2 linked regions of the Ovis aries genome follow. The main gene of each other region encodes a partner of the protein of the gene in region 2 in a complex. Links are inferred from orthologs where the notes say so. Each region holds a gene or a part of one and is shown on either strand. Other genes may lie near its edges.

Region 1 (4,222 bases), on a different chromosome or scaffold from region 2:
TCAGAAATAAACAGATTCAAAACCTGGCTGTGTAATACACTGGTCGCCATGTGATCCTGTGCAAATAACAACTGTTACCAGGAGGAATCACACCATCAACCTCAGTACACTGTGATTAACTGAGATAACATACTTCAGAGATCTGACCCTCATGACCTTGTCATGAGGGTAAAGCCTGGGCCTTTTCCAGCATTCTTTCACTCAACAAATGGCACCACCTTCCATCTAACCATATTAGCCAGGAACTAGGAATTACCCTGTTTATCTTCCCTGCTAAGTCTGGTGGACTGTATTCCTAAATAGCCTCCACATCTATTTCCTTCTCACAACCTTGTCTATGACCACCCCAATCCATGGTACTCTATTTTGCCAAGACAAGTTCAAAACTGTCTTGAACTTGAAAACTGTTTCAATAGCTTCCTAAAACTGTCCTCCTTATGCTAAGCTGCTTCAGTTGTGTCTGACTCTTTTCCACTCCATGGACTGTAGTCCGCCAAGCTCCTCTGTCCAAGGGATTCTCCAGGCAAGAATACTGGAGTGGGTAGCCATGCCCTTCTCCAGGGGATCTTCTCAACCCAGGGATCGAACCCACGTGTCTCCTACGTCTTCTGCACTGGCAGGTGGGTTCTTTACCACTAGCGCCACCTGGGAATAGTCCCCGTACAATCCATTTTTAAACTGAAACAAGAATGATTTAGATAAGCCTGAGCATTTAAAACAGCCAGTCCCACCCAGCACAGCCTCCTGAAGTACCCTTGCTATCACAGGCTCACAATGCTCTACCTGTCCACTCTGCTCAGTGCTCTAGGGACACCAGCCTCCTCGCAAATCCCACTTCCTAAGAGCCTCTGCCTGCAACTCTCTTTTCCTCCAATTTTCACATCCCTCACATGCCTACACATCCCTCACATCTCAGCTCAAGCAGCACTTCTTGGGGAATCTTTCCTTCTTCTCTCAAACTATATCAAATCTCTCCTTCATAGCACTTATCAGAGCTGCATTATTCAAGCCATTTTCGTATCATCTACCTAGCTTCCTATTAAACCATAAACCCCATGATGGCAGGAAGCATGTTTCTATCTACTTCTGTTCACTACTATTTCCCCAGGACCAAGCACTGCTTCTACTACATACAGTTCACTAAACAGCTTAAGAAATGACTAAATAGCACACTGCCCAGCATATGATGGATACTCAGTAAATATAAGCTGTCCAGACTTTAAAACAAATAAGACACTCTACTAATTTCAAACATAATTAACTAAAATGCATAATTAAACTTTTAATAATATAACTACAAATATTATAATCATATAATGTGAAATTAACCATACTTACTGGAATTCCTTGTAATTGCGGTTTATCTAGAAGATTATGTAGTTCATTTCGAGAGGCTTCTATCTTTTCACGATCTGCAGCATCTATCATGTAACTTTAAAAAAAAAAAGTGATCTCAAAATGCCTCCACCATATTCTTTGATGATCACAATGAACAAACTTTTAATTTTCTTAATTTATACTACTAAAACTGTTGATCAAAATTAAGTCCTAGATTTTGAAAGGCTGTCACCCGAAAATACTTTTTAACAGACTGTCCTACAGATACAAACTACTATATACAGAATTAGATAAGCTGCAAGGATATGTTATATAGTACAGGAAATTATACCCATTATCTTTCAATAACCCATAATGGAATATAACCTGCAAAAACACTTAATCACTATGCTGTACACCTGAAACTAATACTGTTAAGCAACTATACATCAATAAAATAAGCAGAGAAATAGACTGTTCTTTAGGGGGCTAAGACATGACAGTAAAACATGTATATCCATTAGCTCTTAGCAACATAGAGAAAAAAAAACACTCATTTGATGATTTCTTTTTTTAAAGTCTGATGTTAATGGGAAATTATACTAAGAAAATACCTAAAAATGATTTTACTGCCAGAAATAAAACTTAAGCCTTTAAAAGTATGAAAAATGACTTATTCCCTTGAAACCTAAACTGACTATAAGGGGGGATGGGGGACAGGGCGTGGGGGTGGAAGGGAGGCAGCTTACACAATAGCATTGACTCCTCTGCAGTACCGTTCCCACATGCTCCGGAAGCGGGGTTGTCCTCCTATGTCCCAAATCTTCAAATCAAGATAGACAAATCTTAATAACAATGTTTCAAATAACACAGTGACGAAAAAAGTGGCAGACAGAAGGGAAAAAATGAAGCAGATATGCTCAGCTCCACAATGTTAGAGCCAAACTGCTTTGGAAAAATTTGAGCTCAAACAAGCTCTTGACCTGGAAGTTCCTGGGGACATTTCTGAACTTGAAGTTCGTATTTAATACGTTTACATTAGATCTAATAGGTGCTGCCTGAGCAAAGATTTCATTTTGGGGCCATACTTTCTTTGCCTGTTAACCAATAGATTTCCAATACTGAAAACCAATTTTTAAAAAAACAGTACTCTTAGAATCTGCATGATCACACATCATCCACATTTGAAGTCCAAGAGGAAAAAAAAAAAAACCTCTTCATTCAGAATCTATTAAAGTGTAATTGTCTGATGGGGTATATATATTAGAATGTAATCATTTTAAATTATTCTGTATATAACAGAAAATATTCCTACCTAGGTGCTTTTCTTATATAAAATTATTTTATCCATATGAAAACCACCAACTACAGTCATTTCACTATTATGGCTACTCTGGAGGGCTATGTAAAGGTCTTAAGTCATGATGTTTATCTTCAAAAGGCTTCCAATTTAGCTACAGACACTGGATGCATCCATAATGACATACACATGAGACATTAGAAGCTTCATTAGATAAGCTACAGAAAGAATTTAGTAAACAGCTTCTGTGAGCCAGAAGGACTGGGTAAAACGGCCATAAGGGTTCAGGCTATAGAAGCAAAACTCCCCACATGAACAAAGGAGTCAAAAATAATAAAAATAAATTAAAAACCGGTCCAACAGTCCACAACACAAACCTATCATACTTATTCTAGAAACAAAATGATGTTAAACTAATTAACTTTTTACTGTTTTAAAGTTTCAATTTTGGGGCTTAGTAGTAAAGAAAGGAAAACTAGGTTACCTTATTTGCTACCATAAATACAATACTAAATTACCAATATTATAAACAGTTACTCTCTTTCAACATAAATTATTCATGAAATATATGCAATATTACATTCCAAACACTCTGAAGATGGGATTTTTCTTTCCTAGGAACATCTAAATCCCAAATATTACTTTTGCCAACCCATATGCAAAGTTTTTCATGAGACTGAACATTTCAACACTTAAACATCAGAAAAAGAAGGAAAAAAATTAATTTACACTCTTTTGGAACATGCCCAATTAAGAATTGCCAATACTCATGTAAAAACCAAAGAAACAGAAAAACTCCTAATTTGTATGTGCTATTAACAATTTACATCAAGTACAGCAAGCAGCTGACGTACCTTTATTGTGACGTTACCTTTAGTTACTTTTCTCATGTTGAAGCCCACTGTAGGTATCATATCTTCACTGAACTGACCTGACTGAATGAAAGAAAACATTTGAAGTTAGACTAATTGTTACTTATTAAAACTGCAACACTGTATAACCTTTCACATCAACTTTACTTCTGTACCCATATTCAGTTCAGTTGCTCAGTCGTGTCCAACTCCTTGTGACCCCATGAATCGCAGCACACCAGGCCTCCCTGTCCACCATCATCTCCTGAAGTTCACTCAAACCCACGTCCATTGAGTCGGTGATGCCATCCAGCCATCCCATCCTCTGTCATCCCCTTCTCCTCCTGCCCCCAATCCCTCCCAGCATCAGAGTCTTTTCCAATGAGTCAACTCTTCGCATGAGGTGGCCAAAGTACTGGAGTTTCAGCTGTAGCATCATTCCTTCCAAAAGAACACCCAGGGCTGATCTCCTTTAGAATGGACTGGATGGATCTCCTTGCAGTCCAAGGGACTCTCAAGAGTCTTCTCAACACCACAGTTCAAAAGCATCAGTTCTTCAGTGCTAAGCAAGTAACTATTTTTCAGTGATGGTAACCTTCAGAAGATACTCCTGATAGCCATAGATTCTGAAGAGATGCATTTTTTTTTCATTCACATTCTCCTTTTAAAGATATTTTTGAAACTAATGCAAATTTTACATATTTTTAAGTTTAAGAAAAATACCGTACAACTACTTAAGAAATCTGTTGTGTAA
Region 2 (4,222 bases):
CTGCTGTATGTGCTGCTCACAGACTGCTATGTCTACCTGCTCCGAAAAGGTGCCTGCCACCCCCCACCAAAACCCTCTCGCCTCCCACCCCTCTACCCCCTGGCCCTCTGCCCCGGAGTATCTCTCTGCTGCATGTGGTGATGAACATGCACAGCTGGGAAGGGCCTGTCAGTATCCCAGGACATGAGCCTGGGGGCCCCTCCATGAGTACCCCATGTCATTCTCCTACCCCATCATTTCAGATAGCAGGGCGAGGGCAGGTCCTCACTGAGAAAAGGTCTTAGGAAATGGGGCAGGGGAAGGGCAGAGAGGCCCCCAGGGATAACAAGCACTGGGGTCTCCTCTCTCAGGGGCCACAGAGAAGCCATACTTGGTGGAAGAGGCTGTTTCTTACAATGAGCTCGACTATGTGTCGGTGAGTTCGGGCTCTGTGGCTGGTGTGTGCTGTCTGTACGGCTCCACGGGCCACCAAGCCTCAGAGCTGCAGAGCGAGGCCGACCCCTGGCCTCAGTCCCAGGGTGGGTGCCAGTTCTCATCTACCCCCGGGATGCCAAGGATAAGAACCAAGCCCAAGGGTCCCTCTTCCTCCTCTATACATCCGACCATCCCTTCCCACTTCATGGTGACCCCAGTCTGTGCTTCTTCCCCCCCAAGCCCGCCCTCTACCTGGCCATGGCTGCCCCTGTGGCAGCCGCGGCCAAGCTCCATGTGCATGTGAGGGTGTGGTTTCCGGCAGGTGGGCCTCGACCAACAGACGGTGAAGCTGGTGTGCACCAACCGCAGGAAGCAGTTTCTGCTGGACACAGCGGACGTGGCCCTGGCCGAGTGCGTGACACGCCCCTTCCGCCGGCCAGGAGACGGAGCATGCACTTCCGGCCTGGCCACACCCCTGGGGGGGAGGGTGGGAAGTGGGCTTTGAAGAAGTAGAAAGCAGAGACGAGTTTCCTTTGGACCCTGCGGTCCGGGCAGAGAAGCAGGGGGTTGACAGACACAGTGACCGACTGGGGAACCTCAGACCCTCAGTGGCCCCCAGAGAGGAAAAGAGGGCTGGCAGAATCGCCCCCACAGGACAGAAAGCACAGCCCCTGCTTCTGGGCCACGGGGCCACTCTTGGCCCACGTGCTTCCGTGCGAAAACTGTCTATCCTGAGGGCGGGTCTTCATCTGAGTCCTGCTGCGTCACTTCATCCGGGCTTCCCTTGTGGTCAAGACCCAAGGTTCCTTGGCCATCGTGAAGGGTTAGGTTTCCCAGACCACCGTTTGATGACCATGGACGGCTGCCACCTCATTGCCCCACCCGCCACCTTAGCTCTGGTTCCAGATGGGTCCCTCCCCTCAAACCCTGTGACCCCTTCAGGTCAGACGTCCTCAGGACTAAGCCCTGTCCCTGTGAGGGGTGGGGGCCCCAGGCCTCTGACAGCAGACCCCACTCCCCACACAGGTTCTTCTTGGCTTCTTTGAAGTCAGCCATGATCAAGGGCTGTCGGGAACCCCCCTACCCCAGCATCCTGACTGACGCCACCATGGAGAAGCTGGCTCTGGCCAAATTTGTGGCCCAGGAATCTAAGTGTGAAGTAAGAACCTGGGGAGGAGAGGCTGTTGTCCCCGAGGTGCGAGCCCTCGTGTCAGGGTCACGAGGTGCAGACAGCGGGCGTCCATGTTTCTCCATCATCTGCCTGCAGCAGGCTCTCTCCTCCTCCCCAGCTGGGGTGTGTCCTCACCCTGACAACGGCCATTCTTGCTTCTGACCCCAACCTCACCGCTCTGTCCCCTGCCCCCTCCCTCCCCAGGCGACCGCTGTTACTGTGCGTTTCTATGGGCTTGTGCACTGGGAGGACCCCCAGGACGAGTTCCTGGGCCCCATCCCCTGCCACTGCTCACCCCCCGAGGGCAGCATCACCAAAGAAGGCATGCTGCATTACAAGGCGGGCACCTCCTACCTGGGCAAGGAGCACTGGAAGACCTGCTTCGTGGTGCTCAGGTGAGAGCTCTGGCCCGGAGGCTGGGGTGGGGGACAGCACCCTCCTTCCTACGGGGAACCTAGAACTTCTCTGTGTTGTCAGCCGCATAGGGCCCAAGGAAGCCCAGGACATCTCCGGTGCAGACTAGGGCTGCTGGCCCCAGGTTTGGGGGTACGCATTCCTTGTGGGACCTCTGTAGTTTTTCCACCCTCCCAACCTCCCCAGCCTCCTTGGCCTCTGTGTTTCAAGCCCCAGCTTGCAAGGATCCCCAGGATGTAGTCTCTGCAGGCCCCCAGATCTCAGCCCAGACTCACCCCTGCCCCGTTGTGCCCCTGCAGCAACGGGATCCTCTACCAATATCCTGACCGCACCGACGTGACGCCCCTGCTCTCAGTGAACATGGGGTGAGTGTCCTGGGCAATGGGGTTGCTGGGCAGGTATTGGGGCCTGTGTTGCTGCCAGGTCAAGGTGTGCTCAGCCCCACCCCCACTCAGTGCCCTGGGGTCCGCTGAGCTCTGGGGGAAGCAAAAGGAGCTCCCTGCCTGGAAAGGATCCAGTCTGATGGGGAGTCAGTCCTTCCCCTGGGAAGCGCCTGACCTAAGGGGGAGTTGAACACACATACACCTGGAGGGAGCGCCAGGCCCACAGAGGTGGGCAAAGCACACTGATCCTGAGAGGGCGGGGCTGAGAGCCGACTCTCCACCCCTCACCTGGCCCTGTTCAGTATGCAGAAGGACTTTGGTAATCCTGGAGATTAAAGGTGTTACACAGAAAAGAGGTCGGGGCGGGGCTGCCCAGCTGTGGGGTCTGGACCACCCTCTGGTGTCCTCCAGACCCGAGACTCTGGGGCAGCCCCAGGAGCTCCCCTGTGCCACCCCTGCCTCCTCGACCCGTCTCACCCTCCTCCTCTGGCCCAGGGGGGAGCAGTGCGGTGGCTGTCGGAGATCCAACACCACGGACCGGCCCCACGCCTTCCAGGTCGTCCTCGCCGACCGGCCCTGCCTGGAGCTGAGTGCTGACAGCGAGGCTGAGATGGCCGACTGGATGCAGCACCTGTGCCAGGCCGTGTCCAAGGGGGTGAGCGCCTGCTCCCCTCCCCCAGCCTGGGCCCCCAGGGCCCCTCCCTACACCCAGACGCAGCACAGAGCAGCCCCCGAGGACCAATCAGGACCTCCAAGAACCAGCCCAAGAGTCCACCCTGGAGCTTAGGGCCACCCGTGGCCTGACGCTCCCACCATCACTGGGGCCAGCCCCTGTACTCCTGAGGTGGGCGGAGTCTGCTTGACCTCTGGAGGGCTGGGCAGAGGGGCTGGCTGGCCCCTGAAGCAGGGTGTCCTGGTGCAGACCAGCCCTGGAGAGCTCCAGCTTGCCCCTCCCTTCCCCCACCCATGCCCCCCAGGTCATCCCCCAGGGGTTAGCTCCCAGCCCTTGCATCCCTTGCTGCCTGGTAATCACCGATGACCGCCTCTTCACGTGCCACGAGGATTGCCAGACCAGCTTCTTCCGCTCCCTGGGTACTGCCAAGCTGGCCGACATCATTTCTGTGTCCACTGAACCGGGCAAGGAGTACTGCCTCTTGGTGAGCCGGGTGAGGGGGGCAGGTGATGGAGGCAGGCCCTGCCACAGGAGTGCTGAGTCTGCTCACCTGGGGCCCCTGCTCTGCCCAGGAGTTCTCCCAGGACAGCGCACAGCCCCTCCCACCCTGGGTTGTCTACCTGAGCTGCACACCTGAACTGGATCGATTCCTATCTGCACTGAACTCAGGGTGGAAAACCATCTACCAGGTACCCAGCTGCCAGAGCCCCGCAGAAGGGAGTCCTTCCCTGGGGAAAGGCGCCCTGCACGGCACAGACCAGGGCAGGCGTCAGGGGCCCAGGGAAGCGCTGAACTAGGAGCTCCAGGACAGATATCGGTAGGACCAAAGGGACAGGATGCTAACTCCCTGGGAAGCTGAGGCTAAAGCTGAGCGTCGAGCCCAGGAAACACCATTCTTGACCTTCTCAGTCCCCATCAAAAAGCAGGATTTAAGGGCTTATAGTGGGGCTAGAGCTGCGCTAAGATGGTGGGGGCATAGAGCTCAGAGCCAGGCTGAGGGGGCCTCATCGAACTCCGGGACAGATCCTGGTATGAGCACGTGCTATGCTGCCCCTCAGAAGCTTTGGGCCCACCTTTGGCAGAGCGCATTTCCACAGGCAGACTCCCAGGTACAGAGCCTGCCTCCTGGTGCCACCCCCAGCCCCCACCCCCAAGAACCGGTGCACC

What was found. The genes of interacting proteins can lie anywhere in the genome.
Region 1: the proteins of PLEKHM2 (region 2) and ARL8B are in contact, whole or in part, in a crystal structure (PDB 8JCA), measured with the Homo sapiens proteins. The link is inferred for Ovis aries from reciprocal best matches to the Homo sapiens genes PLEKHM2 and ARL8B. Residues at the interface, in NP_055979.2 of Homo sapiens: His70, Phe71, Thr72, Arg73, Arg74, Glu75, Glu103, Ser105, Glu107, Ser108, Tyr109, Arg111, Leu112, Glu115, Glu147, Phe148; in NP_060654.1 of Homo sapiens: Glu22, Thr52, Val53, Gly54, Phe55, Asn56, Met57, Lys68, Trp70, Arg77, Phe78, Arg84, Tyr85, Arg87, Gly88, Val89.

Annotation. Positions count from the first base shown.
Region 1 is NC_056072.1:21,220,184-21,224,405, forward strand, and holds part of ARL8B (ADP-ribosylation factor-like protein 8B), read right to left. Parts: intron 3,553-4,222; coding exon 3,472-3,552; intron 2,141-3,471; coding exon 2,067-2,140; intron 1,433-2,066; coding exon 1,339-1,432; intron 1-1,338. UniProt on the Homo sapiens protein: Small GTPase which cycles between active GTP-bound and inactive GDP-bound states.
Region 2 is NC_056065.1:51,135,537-51,139,758, reverse strand, and holds part of PLEKHM2 (pleckstrin homology domain-containing family M member 2), read left to right. Parts: coding exon 1-49; intron 50-350; coding exon 351-415; intron 416-736; coding exon 737-825; intron 826-1,440; coding exon 1,441-1,573; intron 1,574-1,789; coding exon 1,790-1,980; intron 1,981-2,298; coding exon 2,299-2,364; intron 2,365-2,877; coding exon 2,878-3,037; intron 3,038-3,359; coding exon 3,360-3,539; intron 3,540-3,627; coding exon 3,628-3,744; intron 3,745-4,222. UniProt on the Homo sapiens protein: Plays a role in lysosomes movement and localization at the cell periphery acting as an effector of ARL8B.